3 linked regions of the Canis lupus familiaris genome follow. The protein of the gene in region 2 purifies or fractionates together with the protein of the main gene of each other region. This does not show direct contact. Links are inferred from orthologs where the notes say so. Each region holds a gene or a part of one and is shown on either strand. Other genes may lie near its edges. The genes, in order: cytochrome b5, BCAP31 and VDAC1.

Evidence for each region.
Region 1: the proteins of BCAP31 (region 2) and cytochrome b5 purify together in Homo sapiens (co-immunoprecipitation; 4 studies listed by BioGRID and IntAct, with this or other methods). This does not show direct contact. The link is inferred for Canis lupus familiaris from reciprocal best matches to the Homo sapiens genes BCAP31 and CYB5A.
Region 3: the proteins of BCAP31 (region 2) and VDAC1 purify together in Homo sapiens (affinity purification with western blotting; 3 studies listed by BioGRID, with this or other methods). This does not show direct contact. The link is inferred for Canis lupus familiaris from reciprocal best matches to the Homo sapiens genes BCAP31 and VDAC1.

What each region holds. Positions count from the first base shown.
Region 1 is NC_049222.1:5,043,409-5,047,761, forward strand, and holds the start of cytochrome b5, read left to right. Parts: upstream 1-1,538; 5' UTR 1,539-1,667; coding exon 1,668-1,796; intron 1,797-4,353.
Region 2 is NC_049260.1:122,702,980-122,705,846, reverse strand, and holds the end of BCAP31 (B-cell receptor-associated protein 31), read left to right. Parts: coding exon 1-27; intron 28-787; coding exon 788-888; intron 889-1,967; coding exon 1,968-2,006; 3' UTR 2,007-2,358; downstream 2,359-2,867. UniProt on the Homo sapiens protein: Functions as a chaperone protein. Is one of the most abundant endoplasmic reticulum (ER) proteins.
Region 3 is NC_049232.1:22,230,420-22,234,493, reverse strand, and holds the start of VDAC1 (voltage-dependent anion-selective channel protein 1), read left to right. Parts: upstream 1-1,182; 5' UTR 1,183-1,203; intron 1,204-1,727; exon of another isoform or gene 1,728-1,827; intron 1,828-4,074. UniProt on the Homo sapiens protein: Non-selective voltage-gated ion channel that mediates the transport of anions and cations through the mitochondrion outer membrane and plasma membrane.

The sequences.
Region 1 (4,353 bases), on a different chromosome or scaffold from region 2:
ACTTATACAAAAATTACACAGAAATTAATGAAATTGAAAAAAAAAAAAAGAGAAAATCAAAGAGTTGGAAAGTTGGCTTTTTGAAAAGATCAGTAAAACTGAGAAACCTCCAGCAAGGCTGACAACAAAAAAATGAGAGAAGTCACAAATTATTAGTATCAGGAATTAAACTGAGGATATCATTATAAACCCTGCAAACATCAAAAGGATAATAAAGGAGTAATATGAATGACATCACACATAGATTTGACAATTTAGATGAAATGGATAAATTCCTCCAAAAGTATATAGCACCGCGACTCAGCCGATGTGAAACCAGTAATTTGATAGTGTCATGGAAATTAAATTTCACGGTTTAAAACCTGAAAAAGAAATGTGCAAGCCCATATGGTTTCACTGGAGAAGTCTACCAGTTCTACTTCTAGAGAATAAAACCAATTCTATACAATCTCTTCCAGAAAAATAGAAAAAAGGGAATACTTTCCAACTCATTCTATGAAGCCAGCAAATACCATGCATGAAAGAAAACTGCACACAAGTATTCCCCATAAAAGTCTAACAAAATATAATTTAGCAATAAACAGGTGGGCTGTACTTAGAGATGCAAGGCTGTTTCCGTATTTGTTCTTTTGTTTTGTTTTGTTTTTGTTTTTTTTTGTTTGTTTGTTTCGGTATTTGAAAAGCAGTGTATCCAATCATATGTAAGGGCTGTTGGAATGCTTGGGAAAATCTTTCCTCCCCATGGGCATGCATTCCTATGGAGGAGGTCAGGTGGGGGGAACGAACCTTTACGGAGGCTCCTGATGTGGGGGAGCTGTGTGGAGTCTCTAGGATGGCCTTCCCTGTACCCTGTTGTGTAGGTCCTTCTGGCATTCACTACCATTGCTGAAAAGGGCCTTAACAGGTGACTGGATAATGTGCTGGGATTTCCCTCTTTTTTCCTCAAACATTTGCAAGTCTTCCTGAGTGCTCGCTGAGCAGTTGCTGTTCGGAGCCCAAGTGCTGTTGGTCTTTAGGATTTATGTCAACATCACACTGCGGAGACGAGACAGTATTCGCCGGGCAGTGTCCGCAGAGCGTTAGGAGTCCTTAGGCTTCTGCTTTGTACAGAACCAGTACCTTCCCTGGGCCTTTTCCCTGAAGGCACACTGTTTCTCTGAAGCAGGGCTGTCCCGTCACGTTAACAGTTTGATATTAACAGACTCGTGGCACAGTAACTTACGCAGTGACATTCCGGGCTGGCGAGTCTGACCTGACTGCCAAATCACCGCGAAGTAGCCTCCTCGGCCGGCCACTCCGCCGCCCCAGCCTTCTGCGCAGACGCGGGGGAAGCCCCGCCCCCGCCCCCTCCCCCGGCTCGCCTCGCCCTCCGCGCTCCCGCCCCGCCCCTGAAGGGCACTTCTTGCAGCCAGTCGGCACCCGCGCGCCGGGCGGGGGCGCGCCGAGATTGGCGGAGGCTGTCGGCCGAGGGCGGGCCCCCTGACTGACACGGGTTCTGTCCAGTCACCGGGGGCCGTGAGCCACCGCCCCCTCCGTGGCGCGGGCCGCCCTGCTGTCCGCTCGGGGCTGGGGCGCGGGGAATGTCCCGGGTCGAGCTCGCTGAGACGCGCTCAGCTCCGCCCGGCTCGGCTGCTGTCTGCACGGCCTGAGGCCCGCCGCTTTCCGAAATGGCCGAGCAGTCGGACCAGACCGTCAAGTACTACACCCTGGAAGAGATCCAGAAGCACAACCACAGCAAGAGCACCTGGTTGATCCTGCACCACAAGGTGTACGATTTGACCAAGTTTTTGGAGGAGGTGAGTTGGAGAAACGTGAGCTGTCTGTCGTTCACAGCGCGGTGGGGCTGACGTGCGCGCAGGGTGGGATGTGCTTCCCGGTGCGTGCGCCCCCGGCTCTGCCCCCGAGAGCCTTCCTGGTGTGTGCGTAGGTGCGCCTCCAGTCCTAGGAGCGCCCCTGCACCCAGCTCTGTGCCCGAGAGCGTTCCTGGGCGTGTGTGTACGTGCGCCTCCGGCCCCGGGGCGCCCCTGCACGCACACCGGCCGGTGCACGCACCCAGCTTTGCGCGCTGTGCTGCACGCTCGGGAGCGGGGGCGACTGGGCGAGCCTGGTAGCCGCCCGCGACGGGCCCGCACCTCCGGGCGTGCAGGACGGCGGCACCGGGGGTTGGTGGGAAGCACAGCCGCGTCCCGAGCTGCGGAAGGATTTTGAAAGATCCCTTTCGGAATTTGCATAAGGGGGCTCCCTGGAAGCCGGGGATAGGCCCACTTCCGTTACTGCGGGGGAGACCACCCTCTGAATGGGGGGGATCCTACCTGAGAAAACCCTGAATTCAGAGGTCGGGGTGTGGTCCACAGGCCCACCCCAACTTCGACGCGCGCCCTGTCTGGAAGGCAGCGCCGTGATTGTTAACAGCATCCAGTGAGGACTTTACAGCGCGGACTCAGGAGGCCGGGAAATCAGCGCCGCCGCGGGTGTGAAGCTCCGAGGAAGGCGGAATATAGGTCCTGAGGCTGCCGGGCGGCGCTGGACCCTACCTTTGGGAGTTGTAAAACCACTTTGCTTCACTTAAAGGAACACATTCCTTGATAAGATTCTTTGCATTAGGATATAATTTTTGCAGCACATCCTAAGGGGCTTTTCTTCGCTACCTCTGGATTTGTTTTATCACTGAGTGTGAATGAGAAATCTGAATGTAGCACTTACCCACCTCCCAGACAAATAAGAATGTTTAGTGATGGGAATTTTTTTTACATAGTTGAAGGAGAAATGAAAATAGAGGCCTGTCTTAGCTGAATAAAAATGTACATCAAGGACTTTTGTAGAGAATTTATTGATTGATTTTTTTAACTCTTTTTTTAAAAGTTGAAGCTGATGTTAAATGAGATATTTTACTCCTAAGTTGTCATTTGGTGGTGTGCCAGAAGATAAAATAGTGTTCTGATTTAGGAATGGTTTATAGTAAGGAGGCACACCTGATCTGTCCCTTCTGAGCCACCGGCATTAGAGAGGGTGGAGTTAGCAACCCTGCCTGGTAATATCAGGGCTAGTTGATGCCAAAGGTCTACGTTCAACCAGTTCCTTCTCCCTCTCTCTCCGTATGTGTAATTCTAGAACTTTAAGACTCAGCGTGTGCTTTCTTTGTTTCTATCTGTAAAAAAGAACAGCATTTATGAAAAAAATAAAAGGATATTTTTGTGAACTATTTTTTCTTTTTCCTTTCTTTGTGGGTTTTGTTTTGTACATTGTGTTGTACAGGCAGCTTGCCTGGCCTTTTCCCCACCAGATGTCACCACTCACTTCCCAATTGTGACAGCCAGAATGTCTCCAGATATTGCCAAGTGGCCAAAAATCACTCCTAGTAGAGAATCACTGTCCTAAAAATGTATTTTGCATAACTTTTAAGGGCAAATTTCTCAGAAGGAGATAATAAAGAGAAAATTGCTAAATTTTAAACCACTTTTCATTCTTATGAGGCAGGAAAGAGGGAATTGCACAGAATTTTTGTGAGTAAAATTGTAAGAAATGTGAACAAGCTGTTGGATAAATTAGCTGACAACCAATTCCTTTATTGTATTGTTTTCAGTATTCTGTATGAAAGTAGCTTCAGGAGAATCTGTTAGATAATAGGTGAAATGAGTTTGTCACTAATGTTTGATAACGTAGTGAGATAACTAAAACTATAGTGAAATAAGTAAAAAGTTTATAGTAGTTCTGTTTCCTTTTCTAATTGGTACTTGGTGAGATGCTCCCTGTGGTAGCCTCCTGTGATTTGAGTTTGGGGCACAGAAGGCTGTGTATTCAGCCTTCTAGGAGTCATGCCCTTTCTTTTGATCAGTAAGTTCCGTATCTTATGTACTCCATTGGGTATGTCTCCCTCAGTAGACTACAACCCAAGAGGAAGACACATGATTTCTGTTCCCAAAACCTTCCATTGGAAGAAGCAGGTATAGGACAGGAGAGAGTGCGGTGCTTGGGTCTGCTGCATCTAACTCAGTTGGGATCAGACTCTGGAGGGCAGTGTGAGGCCTCAGGCCTCAGCTCTGTAAAGAGCACCTGAAGTCCCCAGTGGCGGGATGGAAAGGACAACCCAGGTGCACAGAGTGGGATCTTGATTAAGGTAGAAGAGCAAGGTGACTGACATTTTGAAGTTTTTGGACCCACTGGCAGGATGCTGGGCATTTCCAGGGTGATACCCCCTCCTAGGATCCCTGCCTATGGCTTCCTGCATCTTAAACACACATCCCATCAGCTTCTGTAGGACACTCTGCCAGGTGTCATTCTTCTGGATCCCTCTTATTTGCATTACTTTGTTTGGCCAATGCTGTTTATCTCATACCTTCTTTAGAGACAGAG
Region 2 (2,867 bases):
AGGACGAGCTAGACATCAACAAGCAAAGTGAGCATTGTCCTCAGGTGTCCCCCAGCCCCTGAAAGTCTGGAAGCTCCACCAGTGCTGGCTGCCCCTCTTGTGCCAAAGTATTAATAACAGATGTGCACTCGGGCTCAGGAGCTGAGTGAGAACATACAAATGGCCCCCTGCTTATCTAGCTGCTGGGGCTCAGTGGTGCAGTCTCTGTCTGGAGGCCCGGGGTGTCCCAGGGGCTCCGAGACTAGCTCTGGAGCATGTTGGCCAGCAATAGGCCCAGGGAACAGTGCTCTCCGCATGTGGCAGTGTCACCAGTGTCCTTGGGGCAGGGACGGGGAAAACTCGGGAAGCTACCCCAGAACGGCTGGCAGTGTTACTGAAGAGTTCATCTGTTCCCTTCCTGAAAGCCCCTCCCAACACGCTTTTTGCTCTCAGCATTCTGCTCCCTATCTCCTGCTGTCACCTCAATGTTCTCAGACTGTTGGTTCCAGGCCCACAGCCTCCCCGAAGTCACCCATGCCTAGGGCCACTTGGAGTCCCTCCATCAAATGGGCCAGGGGGTCCTTGGTGTTTTCCCGCTTCCCCCATCTGTGCTGGCCAGCCCTCCCCTGCTTCAGGGGCTCGCCCTACAGCTGGCAGGGGAACTTTTCTGGAGAGGAGCACCCTCCTAGACAGCCTCAGTGGGGACACATTCAGACCTGTCTCTGGTGTCTCCAGCAGCTGGATTTTTTCTTCCTAACTAATCCCTATCTTTGTGTTTTCTTTTTCTCCTTATCTGCATCATCTCCAGAACTAGAGAAAGCTGAACGCGAGGCCGTGGCCATGCGGAAGCAGTCTGAGGGCCTTACCAAGGAGTATGACCGTCTGTTGGAGGAGCACGCAAAGTTACAGGTCAGTGGCATGTGTGCTCTGCTCTGCCGGGTCGGATCTGCCCCCCGCACCCTGAGCAGCACTGAGCGGGCTCATCCCCAGCCTGGCCTCCCTCGACAGAGCCTTCAAGAGGCCCTGGTGGTGGGGCTGGCTGCTTTTTTCTTTCCCCCGTTCCCCCTTTCTTCCTCCATTGCTGCTGACTCTGGGTCTAGAGAAGAGCCTGCCAAGCAGTGCCAGTTTGGGCTCAGCAGCTGGAACTCTTTCTCTAGCAGGAGGGGTGTGGCTTGGCAGATGGCAGCCACTTGCTAAAGTGGCCTTGGTAGTGCGGTGGGCCCTCATGCCTGGCATCAGTGTTTCTGAGAAGAGCACCTTCCCTCACACGTGTACCTGGTCTGTGGTGTGGCGCTCCTGACTGGTCCAGGTCCATTGCAGGGACACTCTGCGACTGGCAGCTTGCCTCTTCTGCATGTGGGCTGTGGGGGTGATGCAGGGCTGGGGCGGCCTACCTGCCCCACCCCCCTCCTAGGACCTGTCAAGAGTCCTCAGATTGGCTGAATCTGGAAGCTCAGGTGGCCTGAGAATTGGGCCTGAGGGCCATGTAAATGCCCCTAAGTTCTAACAATTTGCCTTGTCACTTGGCCTAAATTTGGCCACCACAGTGGCTGAAGAGATAGGGCCCAGGCCCCAGAGGAGGACTGCTTGGCCTCAATGTAGGGTGGGATCACCAGCAGGACCCATAAAAGATGTGCAGAATTGTGCAGGGCCTGAGCTGGGACTTGGGAGGGACTTGAATGCCGGGTCTGCCACGGGCCCAAGACGGCGGTTGGTGTGGGGTCCTGTGGCTTAAAGAGAAGCATGACAGCAGAGGCGCCCAGCTACACCCCTCTGGTTGGCATTAGGGTCACAGCCTTTGCTAGAGAGGGTCCACAATCACCTGGGCAGGCCTTTAGGCGTTGCTGCAGGTGGGGTCCCTTGCTCACCTGGTACCTGTTACCTGGGGAGAAGCCAGCAAGCTGGGCCTTTGGGGTGAAGGGGCTAGGGGGTGAAGGGGAGGGGTGCACCCTGTCGACCCGTTGCCTTGTGGTTTCTGTCCCTTCCAGGCAGCGGTGGATGGCCCCACGGACAAGAAGGAGGAGTGAGGCTGCTCCTCCCCACCTGCCACCTGGGCTGTGCCCGCTGCTGCCTGCAGCCCGGCCTCCCCGGTACCTCAGTTCGCCCCCTCTGCTTCCTGTCCCCTTGCACAGCTTGCAGTTCCACGCTCTCCCGGCATACCCCAGGGGACCCAGTTTCTGCCTGCGCAGGATGAATTTGCTGCCATCCCAGCCGGCCAGGCATGAGGCAGGCATTGCTTCCCACTGGGTTGTGCCTCTTTTGTGTTGCGTGTTGTTTGGGGTTCCAGGGCCCCTTGTCTCTGGTCCTGCAGGAGGGTAGACGGTGCAGGCAGAGTAGAGTTTTCCTGGGGCAATAAAGTTCGTTGTTATGTGACTATGATTCGTGCGTGTAACTGAGGCCACCAGGAAGCCGCGTCTTTCTCCCATCACTGGAGGGACCAGGAAGGGAGTGGCGGGGAGTTCTGATAGAGACCCCCAATGTTGGGTCCTGGAGGCCTTCAGGTTATTTTCTTTCAATTTACTAATCTCTAAAGACCCCCTCATCCTAGGTTGGGCCCAGGCTCATACTTGCTCTCCCTGTCCCTTTGCCTTCTGCTCCCCAGGCAGGCCCTATTTTATGACCACTTGGGGTGTGTCTGACCTGTTGGGTTGGCCACTGGGTCCACGGAATCTTGGGAGACTCAGTAAACTGCTGGGGCTTCCGGGTGGCAGATTTGCCTGCCTCCTCTGAGTCCTGTTCATCACATTTTAGGACAGATAGAACATGGCAGAGTGCCACCAGTCACTCCCTGCCCCACTTCCTCCTGAAGGTTTGCAGGATGACCTCTGACTCACGCCTACTAAGACAGGAGACTTGCCCTTGACAGTGACCTATGACTGGCCCAGGAT
Region 3 (4,074 bases), on a different chromosome or scaffold from region 2:
AGAAACACTGTTATACCTGACCTGGGTTTATTAGCTCATAATTGCAAGGGAGGACCTGATTGGCTGCTCTTGGGTCAGGTGCCCCCCCTCCAGTCCGAACCTGGCAAGAAAGAAGGAAGGTGGGGCTGGAGGTGGCAGAGCCAAGCCTGGCATAACCTGCTGCCTGGTTCAGCTCTTCCTTTGGGGCTGTGGTGGGGAGCAGTCAACACTAGGGTCTGAGGATGCCATGTTGCACCAGATTTCTTCAGTGTTTTTGGAGTGCTTGCTTCCCATTTTAAACTTGCCCCAACCCTCTGAAATTGCAGCTGAGCAGTTAGCCCAGTTGCCCAGAGTCACACAGCCAGTGAGTCAAAGAACACTCGTGTGATTCATCTGAAAGTGACACCTGGGGGAGCCCCAGAAGGGACCCAGAGCAGGTGGGGTATGGGGAACTCTTCCCACAATCAGGGTCCTGAAAGGTGGTTTGGCAAGGAGGTGCTGGAGAGGAGGGGAACACTTAGGACCTTTGGTCCAAGCATCACACCTGGGCTTTACTGACCCAGGGTGAGATATCTGCTCCTAGCTCCTGTGACATTTCTGGAGCCCCATCTTCCCCTAGAGCTATCTGGCTCTGCCCTGCCTCCTTGAGGTCCTGTCCTCCCAAAGGCGGCTTTCCTGCGCTCATGGGTGACTCAGTGGCTTTCCTTGCCTCACCCTCTCCAGGAGTGTGCCGGGGCCTTTGTGTGTGGAGCGGGAATGACCAGGCTGGGAAGCTCTGAGCCCTCCAGTTAGCCATGGAGCAGCTCGTGGGCCTGGGGAGAGTTCCAGCATGAGCGCTCCACGCTCCAGGACCTCAGGGGGTTTAGCGTGCTTAGACCAGAGACCCCTACAGAGCCCGGTGCACTTTGCACCGCCCCCGCCCCCCCCTTCCCAACCCCATAAGCTGGTGCCCTTCTTCTCGGCATCCGGGCCCCATCGGAACACCAGTCAGTTGCCTTTTCCTCCTCCCGCTGCCCTCGGCCCAGCAGCCTGTCCTCTGGCCTCTGCCGCCGCCCCAGCCGCCTGCTCCTTTAATCGGCGCCACAGCTGGTGGTGAGCGAGCGTCGGGGTCCCGGAGCCCCTGCCTCCTCCACGGGCCCCGAGGCGCGGAGAACGAACGTTTGTTGGCGGAGGCCAAAGCCGCGCAGCCCCTCCGACCGGCCACGAGGCTCTGCGCAATTCTGGGTGACGGAGGCCGCCGGCTCGGGCGGGGCGGGGGCTCCCCGGGGGCCCGGGCTGGCTCCCGCCTCCCGTCTGCGCTCTCGGGCTCCCAGCGGGGGACGTTCTGCCGAAGCGCGGTTTGCTGTTTTCACTTCGCAAAAGCTCCGAAAATGGCCACTGGCAGTCTCGCTCCCGGGGAAAGTGCCTGCTACTCTGGAGCGCAAAAGCTCGGCGCACCCGGGTTGCTCGGCGCTTGGCCCTCGGCCGCCGCGGCCGGCACGCGTGTCCCCGCGCACGCACCCCTCGCGCGCCGCCTCGTCCCGCGCCGGGGCCCTCGCCGCCCCCCTCCGCGCGCCCGCACTCGCCCGGGGCACCGCGTCGGGGCAGGCGCCGAGGGCGCGCGGAGGGGGCGGCGGGCGCGGGCGCGGGCGCGGGCGCGGGGACCGGGCCCCGGCCTGGGCGGTGTCCGGGGCGGGCCCAGGGGCGGGGCTCGCGTGCCCGGGTGCGCAGGGTCGGGGCGGGTCCGCGCCGCCGCCGTCCGCGCCGCCCCGCCCCGCCCTCGGCCCGGCCGTGCGCTCGGTTCCTCGCGCAGCAGCCTCCGCGGTAGGTGCCGCCGAGCCCGCCGCCGAGCCCGCCGCCGCCCGCGAGGTAGGCACCTCGGCCGGGGACCCGCGCCCCGCAGGCGCCCGGGGGGGCGGGCCGGGCCGCGGGAGCTGAGCGGGAGGCGGTGGAGGGAGGAGCCGCGCGGACGGGGGGCCGAGGGCCGGGCCGGGCCGGGCCGGGCGGCGCGGGGGAGCGGAGCGGGGCGGGAGCGGGGCGGGAGCGGGGCGGGAGCGGGGCGCCCCGCGAGGGCCTGGGCGGGCAGCGGCGGGCGCAGCAGGCCTCGGCGGGCGGCCCGGGCGGGGAGCGGGCGGCCGGACGCCCCGGGGCGCCTGCGGCTGGGGCTCGAGCCTGCGGGGACCGCGGGGACCGCGGGCGGAAGGGCACGGGCCGCGCGTGAGGGCCCGGCCGGCTGCAGGTCTCGGTGACCTTTGCCGGCGGCGCCCTCTGGACCTGGGTCCCGCCCTCGCGGCCCGGCGGGGGACCGCCCGCCACCCACGCTCGCCGGGCTCGGCCCACGGACCGGCGCGGGCCATGCGGTGGCCGCGGGGATGAGCCGCTGTGATGACCGAGGCCCAGCCCGGCCCCGGCCCCGGCCCCGGCCCCCGCACCGGCCCCCGGCCCCCGGCCCCGCACGCCCTGCCCGGCCCGTGGGTGCACGCCCAGGGACGCTGGCGCCCGGCCTTGTCCGCGGGTCCTAGGCCTCTAGGGCCCGGGCGGGGGGCTAGGCCTTGGGAAGGGAGGCCCGGCGGGAGCGGGATGTGGCCTCCTTGGCCTCTGGAGCGCCTCCCGGTTTGTTTGCTCGTTCATTCACGGAGCGCGGCGGCGCCTTCACGAAACTGGCTCGGAGCCCTTGGATTTCCGGACTTGCAATCCCAGTGACTTGTCCAAGGTCACACTCAGCAGGCCTGAGTGCTCTCATCTGTAGAATAGGAGCAGTTACAGCTCTCCCTCGTTGGGTTTTTGGGAAGAATAAAATGAGTTGGTCAACACGAAGCCTTCAGGGGAAAGCTGGACAGCCTTGAGGCTTTTTGGGAGGATTTAGCCCATCCTCTGCAGACCATTTTACTCCACGTGGTGTTCTGGAAAGGGTTCAATAAACAGCCAGCTGCTGTTATTTTAAACATTATTACTAAGCACTTGTATACTGGGCACTGAGTAATTTTCAGGATAATTCATGAAAAATCCTTATAGAAGTTTATAGACAGACAAGGTCAGGCTGAAGCAGGAAGTTGCCTTTGGGTGCAGAGCTGAGGGAAGCCTAGCCTTGTTTGACCCATTCCCTTGACCAGCCTCACCTCTCTGGAGGAGATAGAGAATGGATCCCTCCTTTTCTGCATTCACTGTTGGCAAGGCCAGGGCAGACTGCCCAGGGCTTGCCTTGTTTCTCCAGCCCAGCTCTGGACTGAGTTCTACAGGGTTAGGCTTAAGCCTTATGCAGCTTTGTTTTCAGCGCCTGGGGTGGTGCCACTTGACCCACATTAGGTACTTGAGAAGGGTCTGTGGGGGCAAATGCAATCTTGCTTTTTATCCAAGAAGCAACTCACCCTTACTGAGAGAAGGATAGTTTTTACGATGGCAGCATGTGGCTTAGAGTAGGTGCTCATTAAGTATTTGTGAAATTATTGAATGGGCATATGTAGTGGATGCAGGCCCAGACCAGAGTTTCTTGATCTTGGACATCCTAAGGGACACACACTCATTCACTTCCAGCAAATACCCTTGCTTAGGAGAGAGTCACAGATATTTAAAGACTCGCAGTTGAATGTACAGCCCTGGAGCACTGAGATGCAGATCTGTTTCCTTTTTTTTTTTTTTTTTTAAGATTTTTAAATTTTATTTATTCATAGAGACAGAGAGAGAGGCAGAGACACAGGCAGAGGGAGAAGCGGGCTCCCTGCAGGGAGCCCGATGTGGGATTCGATCCTGGGTCTCCAGGATCACGACCCAGGCTGTAGGCGGTGCTAAACCACTGCGCCACCGGGGCTGCCCGCAGATCTGTTTCCTAATTTGAAATCTGCTTTAAACCTATTACCTTCGTTATGTGACTTTTTCACATCCTGTGGGAAACTTGTAGAACTGGTGTTTCTGGGCCTGCAGGGTGGTGGTGGTGGGGTGACCCCAGTGAGTCGGGATTCTCCTAAGGTTTTGGGCCTGGTGCTTTTCCTCTTTCTGATGAGTGGATTGGTAAAATGCTTGACCCTGGAGATTGTCCAGAGTAAAATTCTTGACCGTGGGGAGGGGGTAGTACTGCTCTTACTTGATTACTTAGTTTTATTTCTGTATTCTATTCTG